Linked DNA regions of Saccharomyces cerevisiae S288C. Changing the gene in region 2 together with the main gene of any one other region gives a genetic interaction. Each region holds a gene or a part of one and is shown on either strand. Other genes may lie near its edges.

Evidence for each region.
Region 1: mutations in YHC1 (region 2) and TGS1 together harm fitness more than expected from each alone (negative genetic interaction), as found in Saccharomyces cerevisiae (5 studies listed by BioGRID, with this or other methods).
Region 3: mutations in YHC1 (region 2) and MUD2 together harm fitness more than expected from each alone (negative genetic interaction), as found in Saccharomyces cerevisiae (5 studies listed by BioGRID, with this or other methods).

What each region holds. Positions count from the first base shown.
Region 1 is NC_001148.4:251,671-256,805, forward strand, and holds TGS1 (RNA methyltransferase), read left to right. Parts: upstream 1-3,143; coding exon 3,144-4,091; downstream 4,092-5,135. Other genes in the region: AIM44 (Aim44p), read right to left, coding at 364-2,640; pheromone-regulated protein PRM4, read right to left, coding at 4,243-5,097. UniProt on the Saccharomyces cerevisiae protein: Catalyzes the two serial methylation steps for the conversion of the 7-monomethylguanosine (m(7)G) caps of snRNAs and snoRNAs to a 2,2,7-trimethylguanosine (m(2,2,7)G) cap structure.
Region 2 is NC_001144.5:724,123-729,137, forward strand, and holds YHC1 (Yhc1p), read right to left. Parts: upstream 1,295-5,015; coding exon 599-1,294; downstream 1-598. Other genes in the region: YLR297W (uncharacterized protein), read left to right, coding at 1-311; ECM38 (gamma-glutamyltransferase), read left to right, coding at 1,947-3,929; EXG1 (glucan 1,3-beta-glucosidase), read left to right, coding at 4,833-5,015. UniProt on the Saccharomyces cerevisiae protein: Component of the spliceosomal U1 snRNP, which is essential for recognition of the pre-mRNA 5' splice-site and the subsequent assembly of the spliceosome.
Region 3 is NC_001143.9:292,775-298,193, reverse strand, and holds MUD2 (Mud2p), read left to right. Parts: upstream 1-2,000; coding exon 2,001-3,584; downstream 3,585-5,419. Other genes in the region: Hsp70 family chaperone LHS1, read right to left, coding at 1-1,764; AAN1 (Aan1p), read left to right, coding at 3,886-5,238. UniProt on the Saccharomyces cerevisiae protein: Splicing factor that contacts pre-mRNA directly and is a component of the pre-mRNA-U1 snRNP complex (commitment complex 2) that forms during early spliceosome assembly in yeast extracts.

The DNA.
Region 1 (5,135 bases), on a different chromosome or scaffold from region 2:
TTTATCGTCCGACTTTGCGTTCTGACCTGCTGAATATACGATTAGTAGTTTTAAAAGCACCTTTATAATGTTCGACAGCAAGGAGTGCTATATCTAGCGGGTGTTTGTGTACGTATGACGGAATAAGTTAAAGAAACATCTAAGTTATTTAAATAGTTGCTATAACTACCCTTTGGGATAAACGATTCTGATATTGCGAGCGAAAAAAAGAAACGGTAGACAGAATAGGCGTTTGTTATCGTCGATGGTGATAAAAGGCGATATCGCCATTAAGGTAAACAATTATTATGATTATGGTTCTTATGGTTGATACGTTGATTTATATTAATATTAATGAATGCAAACTTATGTTATTATATATTTTTAAATTTTCATACCGACAGGAAGAGTCAATGACCTCTTGACCACACCTGTTGGTAGCGATATAATGCTGTTTGAGTAGGCAGGATTTAGCATAGCAAATGGAGATCTTAACGTAATACTCAAATCGCTTTGTTTTCTCATCGGACTTAATTCCGCTAATTCGTCTACCTCTTTTGCCAAATTTCTTCCTTCTCCTTCTTTTCTTTTTTCTTCTTCTTCTTCATCATCTTCATCATCTTCTTCATCTTCTTCATCTTCTTCATCATCATTTTCTTCTTCTTCTTCTTCATCATCTTCATCATCTTCATCTTCTTCTTCTTCCTCGTCGGCCCTTACTGTAACGCCATCAAATATTTGGGAGGAGCTACCATCAGCCTCATATTCAGTTAATAGAGAATCGACAAGATCTTCGTAGATAGTTGAGTTTGTTTCTGCTGATTTATTCATATAAACAACATTGCTCTTATAATTTTGTATACGAGCAATTTGTACCCTGAGCATAATTCTTTGAGCAATTACGGTGCTTAAATAATGTTTCATCAAATTGTAACTCTCTTCATTTGAAGTTTCCTCATTATTTGCATCCACATTTTGAATTTCATTGTTGCATTCAACTCTGTCCTTATTATCTACTTCCGTTGTCTCCATTGCATCCGCATAATTAGAGTAGCTTTCAGATGATTCTCTGTCATAATCAGATGAGCAAACGCTATTAACGGGAGATAATTCTCTCATAGAACTAGTATCAATTACATATTCGTCTTCCTCTTTAATAGAATATCGATTCATGGATAACGGAATAACTTTATTTTCTACCACAATTGATGGCTGTCTTGCAATTGCATTTAGGGCCGTCGATGGTTTTGACCTTACCAATCTTGACCTCGAGTACATGCTGCTGTTGCGAGTGACGGCATGACTAACATTATCCGGTACAGAAATGAAGGAGTTTTTATTATTTGCCGGTGTCATAGTGGCAGATGCGGTTAGGATGGATGCAGCCCTTCTAATAGAGGAATTTGTTCTTCTCAATGATGGAGTATAGCTTACCAAAGGGCTCCTTGGGGTGTTTGATCCAACTTTGGAATCTTCAGATTGGGGATGGTTTGCTTTAAATTTCGTATCAACTGTCAAAGGTTTAGTCTTTTTTTGTGGAGCCAATACAGGTACTAAAGATTTTGATGAGATCGACCGTTGTAAATTAGAGACGTATCTCTGCGATTTTTTTTGACGCGGAGTAGAGTTGCTGTTTTTGTTGACTAGGTTCGTCCCTCTTTTTTTTGACTTGTTGTTAATGTTTGCTTTAGATTTAGTGGTTTTGGAATTCGTGGCGGAGGGGACCTTTTGAACATTATATGAAAACAGTCTTCTTCTTAAAACTAGCCGTAATTTCCGTAACTTTTTCTTTATCTTGATTCCCAATGAGGTGAAATAATATAAGAGTCCGCCCTTACATCTAATAGCTTTTGATCGTTTTAGAGAACAACGACTGCTACTTGATTTACTGCTGACACTTGAACTATACCTGGAATTGGAAAACCTCGAGGATTCAACTCGTCTTATGGTCGGAACTCTGTTTAGCTTTTTTTTAGGTTTCGGTACTACGCTATTGTTTAATTCGATAGTTTTTATATCCTTTTCCATATTTAATTTGGTCATCGGTTTGGCTTCTTGGGTCGACGGCAGAATGGCGCTTTTAGATGTCGATTTCCTTGGTAATAACGATGATGCTGATGACGGCGCGATATCGTAGGAAACATTATCTGCTGTTGGGATAGTCTGGAATGCCGTTGAGATTGAGCCAGTTATGTTTCCCTCTGGAATAGCTTCCATTGAATGTAACTGGTTTTTAACTACATTTGAGCTGCTATAATGAAGAGAGTCATTTCCTGGGAAGTCATGAGAAGCAAAAAAGTCACTTTTGTTCGAGTCTGAGGAAGTTAATCTAGCGGTTTCATTTTGATTGATTACAATACGTGGTGAAGACGTAGTATTGTCAGAAATGTTAGCAAATGAATAGTATCCATTTGATGAATAACCGGAATTTGTATTTGTATTGGAAGTGGATGTATAGTCTGATAATGTTTGAGAGTTTCCGTCTTCATCGCGAGAAACTCCATTTTCTGCTGCAAACACATCATTTAAAAGATGATGATTATTCAAATGGTACTCTTCTAGCGTTCCTCTTGGTAAACTTTCGTTAGACGGGAATTTAAAATCCATTTGATCGCCTCTAAACGACTTGGTTTTTGTCCTTATTGGAGCTCTGATGATCATTCCGTATGATATATTTGTTGTGATAATAAGCCAAATTTATTTGAGCACTATTGTTAAGTTAATTGTTCTTGTTTTACTTGTTAAGCCGTTAAGTTGTCAACCGAATTATCAAGCACTTAAATCTATATATACAACATATTTGTACAAGAATTGATGACCTGCTGAAAGCCCAGCAATCTGGTTATCCCAGTTGAACATGTTTAAGGATAGGCATATCGACTTCTTTATCTTACTAACCGAAATATTGAATTGCCTGTGTAATGAATGGCTGGAGCAGCCTTTTTTTTATCTTCGCCAGCCATCGCTTTTTTTGAATATTTTCCACATGAAAACAATGTATGAAAAATTCTAAGGCATCGCACCAAACTATATGAAGGGGAAGTGAGTTATTCCGCAAACAGCGAGTAAGTTTTTCGTTGTATTGATTGCCCATATTATATACCGTGTTGTGGGGGCAACAGACAGAAGTAGAAGAAAAAATTTTTGTTGATTTAACTGAAGTGATGGGAAGGACATTTATTCATGCTTCGAAAATAAAACATGCGGCACGCAAAAGAAAACATCATTCCAACTTTAGAACTCTGATCAAATTATTGAACAATGATGCCTATAAGATAGAATCATCAAAACCGTTGAAAAATGGTAAACTTTTCAAATACTGGAAAAATAGGCGTAGATTGTTTTCAAAGATAGATTCGGCGTCGATATATATGACTGATGAGCTGTGGTTCAGTGTGACGCCCGAAAGAATTGCCTGCTTCCTGGCAAATTTTGTTAAGGCATGCATGCCAAATGCCGAAAGAATACTGGATGTTTTCTGTGGTGGGGGCGGGAACACCATACAATTTGCCATGCAATTTCCTTACGTCTATGGAGTGGACTACAGTATTGAACACATATATTGTACTGCGAAAAACGCCCAAAGCTACGGTGTGGACGACAGAATATGGCTGAAGCGGGGATCCTGGAAAAAGCTAGTCTCTAAGCAGAAACTTTCCAAAATAAAGTACGACTGTGTATTTGGATCACCCCCGTGGGGTGGTCCAGAATACTTAAGAAACGATGTGTATGACTTAGAGCAACATCTAAAGCCTATGGGGATTACCAAGATGTTGAAAAGTTTTCTTAAACTAAGCCCTAATGTGATTATGTTTTTGCCAAGGAACTCTGATTTGAACCAGCTTTCTCGAGCTACGAGGAAAGTACTAGGTCCATTTGCCAAATGTAAAGTATTATATGTAAAGGAGAATGGATATATGAAAGGAATATTTTGCATGTGGGGGGAATGCTTTTTTAACTACGAACCAGCAAGTACGGAGAATAGTCGAAGGGAGTCGTCCGAAAAGGAAGAGCTGAGTTCTGAAAACGAAGAGCTCTCGAAAAGAAAAAAGCATGAATCCACAACAACGACCAAAGATAATACTGTAGACATTTACGACGTAAATGGTTAAACACTTGTTCAAGTTGAATCGTATGATAGAAAATGCAATGACTATGTTATGAATGTATATATAGCACATAAAGAGGATCGCTTACGTGAATTTGGGAATAATTAAAACGTTCTTTTAGCTGCGGCTGCTCGTCGATAGGAGTGATAACAAATTAAGAATTAGAAGGGATGTCTTTTTTTTCTACCAGCAAGTTGCCACGCGCTTCAGACTTTAGAAGAGGTAGTAGCAATCCCTTCGAATGAGGTTCGATTATATCTCTCACCATTCCACGATTTATCACGGAAATACCATTCAAAAATAAATAAGGCGACTGAATGGATTCCAAGGCAGCACTAGTATCGATATTTAGTTTATTTTGTTTGATATACTTTTCTAATTCATAGCCATGAGAGTGTTTTTCCAAATCAACAGTGGCCAATTCGGGTGAAATCTCAAATTCTCTTTGTAATAGATTTTTTAAGAAAATGGAGTCTGCTTGTGATGATTTAATGAATAATACCGCTGGAGAGGTTCTTATTATATCTAGAAAATCTGTTCTAGGGTCGAATTTTTTGTGATCGCAGTTTTTCTGCAAGGCCAGAGAAGATGACCGTGGATTTAGTGTTGTTGTGGTCGTCGCCGTCACGACATTATCAGTTTGGAACGATCTTGAAGAAAATTTTGATGTAGCTTTGGATGAGGGTTCTGGGATGTCGACTTCAACCTCGCTTTGAATATTTGAAATTTCTTCTTTGACTTTTTGGAAATTTAGTTCATTTTCATTACTTAGAAAACTGTCTGCTGTCTTTAATAAGTTTGGCAACTTGTAAACGAACTTCTTTTCACTTTCTTCCTCACTATTTTTTTTGTTTTCGCTAGGGTCAGCAGAGTTGTAGAATTCCAAGGAGTCATTCCATGTAAGTAGTAAGAAGCTAAATACGCCAAGCAAAACGAGTGTTAGCGATATTATTCTCGTACTTCTCTTGATTGCTGTGTGCTTTTTCAAAACTGATGAATCCGCTATCATCTTTAACTGTTATTTTCCTTTTTTTAATTGCTCTTTAC
Region 2 (5,015 bases):
GCGTCAAGAATAGCATAGGGGATGAGATCTTTAAATTATTGACAAAGATTTTAAATTCGGATGAGAAAGCAAGCGGAGATGTGCACACACTCGTTTCTGGGACCCCGGATCTCTCAAATTTTAACCTCGATAATGAACCACTGGAAAACATACTCGCTGTTTTCATAATATCTTTTATTATTGTAGTGGTTGGAGTTTTACTACTTGGGTTGATTGGCATGATATTCATATCTCTCCGTTCAGGCAGCAGTAATGATAAGAAACTACAGTCCAACGATGAAGAAAAGCAAGCACTTGCTGAAAAAGCATGAAATAAAAATAGATATAATAGATGGCACCGCTCTTCACGCCCGAAAGTTGGACATTTTAAATTTTAATTCTCATGATAGTAACGATCGTGCACATTCAATTAATTATCGCATACCAAACATTTTTTTTCCTTTTTCAATTCAACTAATCTCAATTTTTTAATTTTCCTTTTTTTATTTCCTTTTTTTTTATTCTCATCATACCATTTTCATTCGTTGTTGATATCTCTATTGTTTTTTTTGGCAAAATATAGTCTACATATAATATTTAATAATCTAATCTGATAGCGTTAATTTCCATACCGCCTCCTTTTATATCCGTTGGCACTCGACGGTTTCCGTATGCCGTCGGAATGCATCCGCTTCTTGGACTCCTTGATCGTGGTTTGCAGTATATCTACACTGTAAAATATAGAAGTTTTTGGAATGGTGTTACTCCATTGTGATAATATCTTTGGGGGTTCTAGCTTCTTTGGGTTATTCAACCTAGGAAATGGATTGCTCTCGCACGTCTCATCTCTGGATCTTGAAGTTTGCTTGAAGGAATGGTGTGCAGATTTTTCATTGGCTCTTTGGGGTAATTTGCTGGCTTTAACCAAATCTCCTATATCAAACCTGTTAGCATCCACAAATACTTTGGAATATCCTGGTGAGCCATCGTATAACAATTTCAAGGTATCTATTGAGGTTTGTGCCAGTTCTTTTTGGTTCATTTTCTTCACATGCATGATGTGTCTTTTCTCCTTATTTGAAAGGCATGTAACTTTTAGCGTCTCATTTTGACTACTGTTTTCTCTTTCTTTCCTGCCTCTTTTTCCAATGTGGCGTCTTTTATGATTATGTTTATTAATAATGTCTCTTGCTTTGTTCCTATAATAGTCAGCTGTTATACGAAGGTGATTCTTACCGACCAAGTGCGATTTACGAACGCTCAACGTGTCATGGGTCAAATACGAATGACAGTATTCACAATAGTATCTCGTCATTGCCTATCTCTTTCCTCTCCGTTACTTGAGCACCTTCATCGCCTACACTAGGAGCTCATATTATATCTTCAGTATAGCAAGAATATTTTCTGTTATCCTTAACGCTTACCCGCCTATGTACCTTGACACTTGCGGAAATCTAGTGTTCAATGATAAGGTACTGTGTGGAACATATGAAAGTGAAAAGAGTTTGAACCGTTTATTATCTCTATACAAGTGTCTCTATTCACATATAAAAGAGTGAAAATAAAAATAACTTTTAAGATTTTATTACCTACATGAGATTAGAAAAATCATAACTATATTACTCAGCGGCTGTGCCTGTTGTTGATCAAAAGAAAAGATCCGCCCCTTCGAACGTCTTAGTGCCGCCTTTTGCCCGCTTATCAATTTTCTCTGAGGGAACATAACGGCATTTATCTATTCGACTTCCAAATCTACATACACGTATATAGATACATATATATATGTGTGTGTGCGCCTGTGTGTACTAGCACTTCTCAATATTATAATTCTTCCGTAAAGTTCGATCGTGACTTCCTGTTGCACAGTTATCTTAAATAATAGAATAAAAAGCTAACGCAGATTCAAGTGGGGCGTTGTCAGGCACACAAAAAGACAAGACAAAAAGTAGCGTACTAGACTTACAGTTATGCTGTTGTGTAATAGAAAAGTCCCCAAGACTTTAAATACCTGTTTTATACTGCATATATTCACTCTGTTAACACTGGGTGTGTTAGTGTCCGGAATGCCGTCAAAAATGGTATCATTCGCCTCTCAGGAGACTTTGCAGAGAATAAATAATCTCCTTCGAGGGTCTGCCAATCGAGATGTTGACATTATTGCAGAATATTTGAAAAAAGACGACGATGATGATGGCGGCGATAAGGATCACCATAACATCGATATTGACCCTTTACCTCGCCGTCCTAGTTTAACGCCTGATAGGCAACTTCTAAAAGTCGGTTTGCATGGTGCTATAAGTTCAGATTTAGAAGTCTGTAGTAATTTGACTATAAATGAGGTACTCCTGAAATTTCCCGGTTCTAACGCTGCAGACGCTGCAGTAACACAAGCTCTTTGTAAGGGTATGGTGAATTTTTTTAATAGTGGGATTGGAGGTGGTGGCTACGTAGTTTTTTCTGGCAAAGACGATGAAGATCATCTATCCATTGATTTTAGAGAAAAAGCACCCATGGATTCACATAAGTTCATGTTCGAAAACTGCTCTCTATGCTCAAAAATAGGGGGTCTTGCTGTCGGTGTTCCAGGTGAATTGATGGGTCTCTATCGCCTCTTTAAAGAAAGAGGTAGCGGCCAAGTTGATTGGCGTGATCTAATTGAACCAGTCGCAAAGCTGGGAAGCGTGGGTTGGCAAATAGGCGAAGCACTCGGTGCCACTTTAGAACTTTATGAGGATGTTTTCCTGACATTGAAGGAAGATTGGTCGTTTGTATTGAATTCTACCCATGACGGTGTTTTGAAAGAAGGCGATTGGATCAAGAGGCCGGCACTATCTAACATGCTAATGGAACTGGCTAAAAATGGTTCCGTGGCCCCATTTTATGACCCCGATCACTGGATTGCAAAATCCATGATTGATACTGTCGCAAAATACAATGGAATAATGAACTTGCAGGATGTTTCATCGTATGATGTTCATGTTACTAAACCACTGTCCATGAAAATTAGGAAGGGCGCCAATTTCATCCCTGATAACGATATGACCGTATTAACAAGTAGCGGCTCAAGTTCCGGGGCTGCACTACTTGCGGCGTTAAGGATAATGGATAATTTCCAGAATCAAGAAGGGGGCGATTATGAAAAAGAAACTACCTATCATTTGCTTGAAAGCATGAAATGGATGGCAAGCGCAAGAAGCAGGTTAGGCGATTTTGAAGGCGAAGCATTACCTAAGCATATAGAAGAGGTATTGGATCCAGAATGGGCTTTGAAAGCAGTGAAATCAATCAAAAGAAACTCTCAAGACGGAAATTTTAAAACTTTAGAAAACTGGACGCTTTATGATCCGGCATACGATATCAATAACCCGCATGGAACTGCCCACTTCAGTATAGTAGATTCACATGGGAATGCTGTTTCCTTGACAACCACCATCAACTTGTTGTTCGGTTCCTTAGTACACGACCCAAAAACCGGGGTGATCTTCAATAATGAAATGGACGATTTCGCTCAATTCAACAAATCTAATAGTTTTGAATTGGCACCCTCCATATACAACTTTCCCGAGCCCGGGAAAAGACCCCTATCATCCACTGCACCCACTATTGTGCTGTCAGAATTAGGCATCCCAGACCTCGTGGTCGGCGCTTCCGGCGGCTCAAGAATCACTACGAGTGTTTTACAAACAATTGTGAGGACGTACTGGTATAACATGCCTATATTGGAAACGATAGCCTATCCACGTATACACCACCAGTTACTGCCCGACCGCATAGAACTGGAAAGCTTCCCCATGATCGGTAAAGCCGTACTAAGCACTCTCAAGGAAATGGGATATACGATGAAAGAAGTATTTCCCAAGAGCGTAGTTAATGCTATACGCAATGTCAGGGGAGAATGGCATGCGGTGAGTGACTATTGGAGAAAAAGAGGAATCTCCTCCGTATACTAAGATGTGGGGTAAGAATGGTACTGTAATATAGTTCAAGATAATAGTACGTAATGTAGGGAGCCTGCTTCTGTGGTATATAAATAAATACTGGGCTTGCGTTTATTTTTAAAGAATCAATATTTACTTTTCATTAACAAAGGGCATACGCCCTTAAAACAAAACAAAAAATCCAGATCATGCGAGCTTTGCCTTTTTCAGTAAGTTTCCCTACCTTGCAGCCGAGACGCGACTTCGGAACGATGCCAGCATACGTATTTACCATTATTAAAAAAATCTGATGGCTTGATACTGCGCGTTTCTTTTTATAGCATTAATACGCACACATACGCGCATTGTTGTTTACTATAAATAAACCGTGGGGACCTGACCCAGTCATCCTCCCTGTGTTTACAGTGCGGTGCACACGAGCCTGAGACAAGCCCGTAACCAGGCGCGTTGCCGCAAATACAGAGGCGCCCCAGACAACACCGCAGTGTGAAGCACTGTCAATTTAAAACCGTGGCTTGCTGGAGATGCCCAGACCAACCCTGTTGGGTTTTTCTCTCGAGCACGCCGTTATAATTTTAGCGTGTTCCGTACCTGTGTGCACATCAATAAGCGGTGTAACAAACTTGAACTTGCCATCTCATATCGTCATATGAGCAGTTGCAGAGAAAGGCACTTTAAATAAAAAGGCGTGGATGATAAAAAATGTATATAAGTTGGATGGATTTTTGGGAAAAAGTAATGTTTTTGCAGACGTTTTAAATACTCCCTCCCTTTTCTTAGTAATTTTTATTATGTATTGACTAAGTCAAAAATAACTATAGAAAACTAAAGTTTACGAGAGGACCCAAAAGTTTTGAATAACACGTGCCTTTGATTTTTTGTTTACTTTCTTTTTCTAGTTAATTACCAACTAAAATGCTTTCGCTTAAAACGTTACTGTGTACGTTGTTGACTGTGTCATCAGTACTCGCTACCCCAGTCCCTGCAAGAGACCCTTCTTCCATTCAATTTGTTCATGAGGAGAACAAGAAAAGATACTACGATTATGACCACGGTTCCCTCGGAGAACCAATCCGTGGTGTCAACATTGGTGGTTGG
Region 3 (5,419 bases), on a different chromosome or scaffold from region 2:
CTCATGCAAACGCGAACGTTCTGAAGGAGAAAGCCTTTTGATCTCAACATCCTCAGAAGTAAAAGCCAAACGGCTGCCTTTGTTCTTAATTTGCTTGGAGTTACCTATGTCATTTTCGCTCTGACAAATGCAGTTAACCTCTTGAATAGAGAATAATCTATCACTGGACAAGTCGAAAGTAATGTTATACGCAACTCCTGACGAGCACTTATCAGAGGAATATGAATTCTTTATAGCTCCTGAATTAACTGTGATAGTTTCGAACAATTTACCATTCTCAAATAAGTCAATGGTAAAATTATTAGGAATCGAATCAGTCGTGTTTGTCAAAATAGATGTTTTGTTTGGATAAGCACTTCCGCGCGTGAACACATCATACAGTTCAGATTCGTTTGATAATTTGAATGAATAAGTATTTACAGAACGGTCAACAACATTTAACGGCTTGGTCTTAAACGAATTAGATAACTTGATCCCTCTCATAACAACACCATTCACAGCTGATTCATCAGCATTGACATTTCTCAACACTTTTTCTTCGGATACGAGTTTGATTAATTGATCCTGCACAATGGGAATTCGGGAAGAGCCTCCCGCCAAAATGACCCCATTTATCTCAGGTAAATTTGTTCCATAGCCACCGAATTGTTTTGTAACAGCGTCATTTATGGGTTTGACAATGTCCAATAACGAGTCTGCAATAAATTCTTCGAATTCCTGTCTAGTTATAGAAGTACGGAAATCAATATCGTTGATCAGTGATTCTATGTTAATACTTGCCTCAGAATTGGCGCTTAAAATTAACTTTGCCTTCTCTGCTGCTTGGTTGATTTTTGCTAAGGCCTTGGGATTAGCGTGCAATTCATCAGTTCTTATGGCTGGGTGTGTTTCCAAAAACTTATTCTCTATCAAACTGCCAATATCCATTGTAAACTTTGCACCACCTAGATGTGGATTATACCCATATCCTTCAAATTCTATTGTAACGGGCTGAGTAGTGTCCTCCGGCTGCAATATAGAGAACATTGAGGCCTTAATAGAACCGCTCCCCATGTCATATACGATATAATGCTGCTGTTCACCTGGTGGAAATTGGCGCTGCTTTAATACAAAGTTAACTGCAACAGACATCCCTTCACTAACCAGATATGTCTCTTCGATTCCTGTGGTTATTGAACTGGCATCTAAAAGTGCTTTCCTTTGATGTTGGTCAAAAAAGTCAGGAATTGTAAAACTCATCTTGTTTACAAAGTCCTCAGTTCTTGCATCTCTATCCTTCAACAGTGAATTGGCTCTATTGGCAATCTCTTGGACATTCATTGCCACTAACTCTTCCAATGGATATTCCACATTATCAACTAAAAAGGCTATGGTACTTCTATTTGTTGATACCATTTCTAAACCGGGGTGTTGTTTTGAATACAAAGTTACAGTGGTTTCATCTTCTAGTGATTTCCCAAGTAGCGGTTTCAAATGCAACAATGTGTTTTGGGGAAACCTTGTTGCTAAACTGCCAACAGCGGAACCGTAGATTCTTTCAATCCCATTCGGATCATCCTTTCCATAACCTGGTAATCTTTTTATCGAAAGACCAGATATCTCCTTCCGTTTTGCCTCTGGTGTGAGCACAAGTTCTAATGGGGCTTGCGGAGAAACCACAATGGCCTTGATATTTTGCTGACCGTAATCAACACCTAAAACGGCTGCTAAAGACCCTATAGCAACAAAAGCTGTTAAAAATAAAAGCCTTAAAACGTTTCGCATGGTAATATGCGTACTTATTTGCACTAATAATGCCAGAATACTGCAGGAGCGATACTGTTAATATTACGCTGTAGAATGGATCACTTTTATAACAGCGTGTTCGATATTATATATTTGAGGCGCGCGCCTAATTAGCAAGTGCTGAAAAAATTCGAGATGAGAAATTAAACTGTACATGCTAATATAAAAGAAGTAGAAAAGGAAAGTTAATTGACACAGAAAACAAGCACACGGAGATGGCTGATGAAAAGAGACTGGAGGATTTGAGATCCAAAATAATGGAGTCTATAGGAAAATCAGAAAAGGATGTTGTGCCGATTGAGAACAAAAGATTCAACACGGATAATGCAGTTATAGATACACATTTTAAGAGGCAAAAAAGTGACGGTGAGCTTCCGAAAGCGCCAAAAAGTAGAAACGTTTCACATTCTAATAACAGAGGACCATCGTCAATAATTACTATGAGCACGAATCGAACGACTTATGAACAAACAAGGGCAGGTCCTCATCGTCAAAGTTATCGGGATGCATCGGGAAGATCATATAACAGGGAGAATCGGTATAGTAGTCACAATACTGGGCCCCAATGGAACAACAATCCCTATAATAGGCAACGGGATGAAAGAAGAGGAAGAAATGAAAGGTTCGATAGAAGGGGAAGAAATGGAAACGGAAACTACGATCGTTTCAATTACCAAAGGAAGAACGAAGGTTCTAAATTCAATGGCGACCGTGATAAAAGGCAGTTGCAAACTAATAAATATGACATGAACTATAATTCCCAAAATGTAATGTACCCGGGTTCATCATTCGATTCTCCGGCTTACTACAACATGGCCTCATCCAAGGCAAATTCAAGGCTTGTAATTTCGGGCTTGTCTCAAAGCAGCGACCCCAGCATTGTAGCAAGATTGAAAGATTTGCTGGAAAATTTTATTTCAGGTCTCCAGAAAACTGAGAGTAATGCGGAGGACTTTAAAATTTCCAACTTTTATATTGGTGAAGGAAGGCCGGACCATATTATTGTTGAGTTTAGTTCTCAGATCTGTAGCACTATGGTTTTGGCCTGTCGATCATTCTTTAATGCGAAGCTTGGTACTTTCGACTTAAAATGGAGAAGACCTAATGATTATGTTCAACAACTTGATCATCTGGTCGATTTTTGCAGGGGTACGGTAATTGCATTGGAAAATTTGGAAAATATAGGCGAGGGTGAAGATTATAGAATGAAAGAGCTTTTTTCGTCATTGAATGTAACAAACGGTACCGCTAAGCCACTTTTTTACAAATGTTCGTCCAATACAAACAACACTGGCAAAGAATCCGAATTCACTAAATGTATTCTATTATCGTTTGAAGTCGTCACTCAGGATATTCTTGATAAATTAAAACCATACAAATGGTTCAAGCCAAATGATGGAAAGATATCACAAGTTACTTCATGGATTACGTTTCAAAGCCTGCCAAATCTGGTTACCCAATCTGTTCGTGTTGAATCGAGAGTTTTGTTGCTCTTAAATTGTCTTGATCCATTGGATTTGAAAGATGAAACCTTTATCACAGAAATTAAAGAAACATTAAAGTATAGTATCGCGGGAGCAGATACGATTAAAATATGCCAACCCGGCGTCGATTACAGACTTAATTTTGAAAACTTGGCTTCCGGAGCCGGTAATATTTATATCAAGTTCAAGACCTTGGAGGCAGCAAAACACGCAATGGAAGAATTGCCGGGTACGCAATTCAACGATCGCACTGTTCTGTGTACTTATATAGATGAGGACGACTTTGACATGATGGAAGCAACCCAACTTTCCTAAATGGTCTATTTTGTAGAGCGAAATTAAGTAAAGAATTGAGTATTCATTATGTAGATCTAATCTTTAACGCAGTGAAAAAAGTCCTCGTTTTTGGTGACTTTTTTTGTACAATTACTTTTTTGAAATATAACGAAAGTTAGCAGATTGACTACTAACTTGCGATCTGGAAAATTAAGAGAATTCAAACTTTTTTTGTTGCATGGGTCAATAATCATCATTAGAGCTTGCCTTGATCAATTTCCTTCACATTTTTGGAATAACTAACATTATAAATCAAGCCTAGTATAGCGCGCCAAAGAAGATGGCTAAAGATTTATTGCCCAAGCAAGCGGCCAACGAGCCATCGTTAAAGGACTGTACCTGTAAAAGATGTCTTAAATTGGGTGCTTCAAAAGAAAAAAAGATTAGAAGAAAGAAGAAAGGTGAGGAGAAAAGAGAAAGACATTATGGAAATAGACGAAAGTTAACATTCAACTTTTTGAAGCATACGAACATGGAAAATACAAATTACGACGTAATCACTTCGGTTGGATATCTGAATGAAAAATACGGATTGAAAAAATCACATTACATTGAAAAATTTATCAAATGCATCCATAGAAAAATAAATATCGATGTTAGCAAAATTACGGACGCCTATGTAAACTCGCTAAACCCGTGGGTTAAAGTAAAACTCTTCCTTTTATTGGTGACATTGTCTGAAAAGGGTGGTCCGGAATACTGGCTAGATAAGACAGATGGTGAAAAGAACTCAGAGGCGTCTTCAACAGATAATAGTTTGGAAAATTCTACTAAAGGAGCAGATAGCGCTGGATCTACTGCTTTGAGAGATGAAATGGTCAAAAGCCATAAAAACCTTTTCCCAACTCTTACAGAGCAAATCATACAGCATAACATCAACCAAGATTTTACGGAATCGACTTACGACGAGGATTATGTATTTTCGTCAATTTGGGCAAACTTCATGGAAGGACTGATCAATCACTATTTGGAAAAAGTCATTGTACCTTACTCGGAAATGAAAGTCTGTCAGCAATTATACAAGCCTATGATGAAAATTATCTCCCTCTATAACGAATACAATGAGCTTATGGTCAAAAGCGAAAAGAACGGATTCTTGCCTTCTCTACAAGACTCCGAAAATGTCCAAGGTGATAAAGGCGAAAAAGAGAGCAAGGATGATGCCGTTAGCCAAGAAAGACTGGAAAGAGCGCAAAAGCTGTTATGGCAAGCTCGAGAAGATATTCCAAAAACAATTAGCAAAGAATTAACGTTGTTATCAGAAATGTATTCTACATTATCTGCTGATGAGCAAGATTACGAATTAGATGAATTTGTTTGTTGCGCAGAGGAGTACATTGAATTGGAATACCTACCTGCCCTTGTAGATGTCTTGTTTGCTAATTGTGGCACGAACAACTTCTGGAAAATTATGTTGGTGTTGGAACCCTTTTTCTACTACATTGAAGACGTCGGCGGAGATGATGATGAAGATGAAGATAATGTGGACAATAGCGAGGGCGACGAAGAAAGCTTACTTAGCAGGAATGTGGAAGGAGATGATAATGTGGTTGAGCGTCATTTTAAGCCTGATCCAAGGGTCATTACACTGGAAAAAATATGTGAAGTTGCTGCAAGACAGAAATGGATATAAGGAGAAATCAAAGGAAAAGAAGCAAGATCCAGCGTTTTCTTTTGAACCCTGGAGGATGCTGATGCATTCTCTATTTATTTGGTATCAAATTGTCGTACAGATGATTTATATATGTTAATATTGTTCAGTTTACACTAATTTTAATTTACCGTATTTACTATCCAAAGGAGAAAAAAAGAAG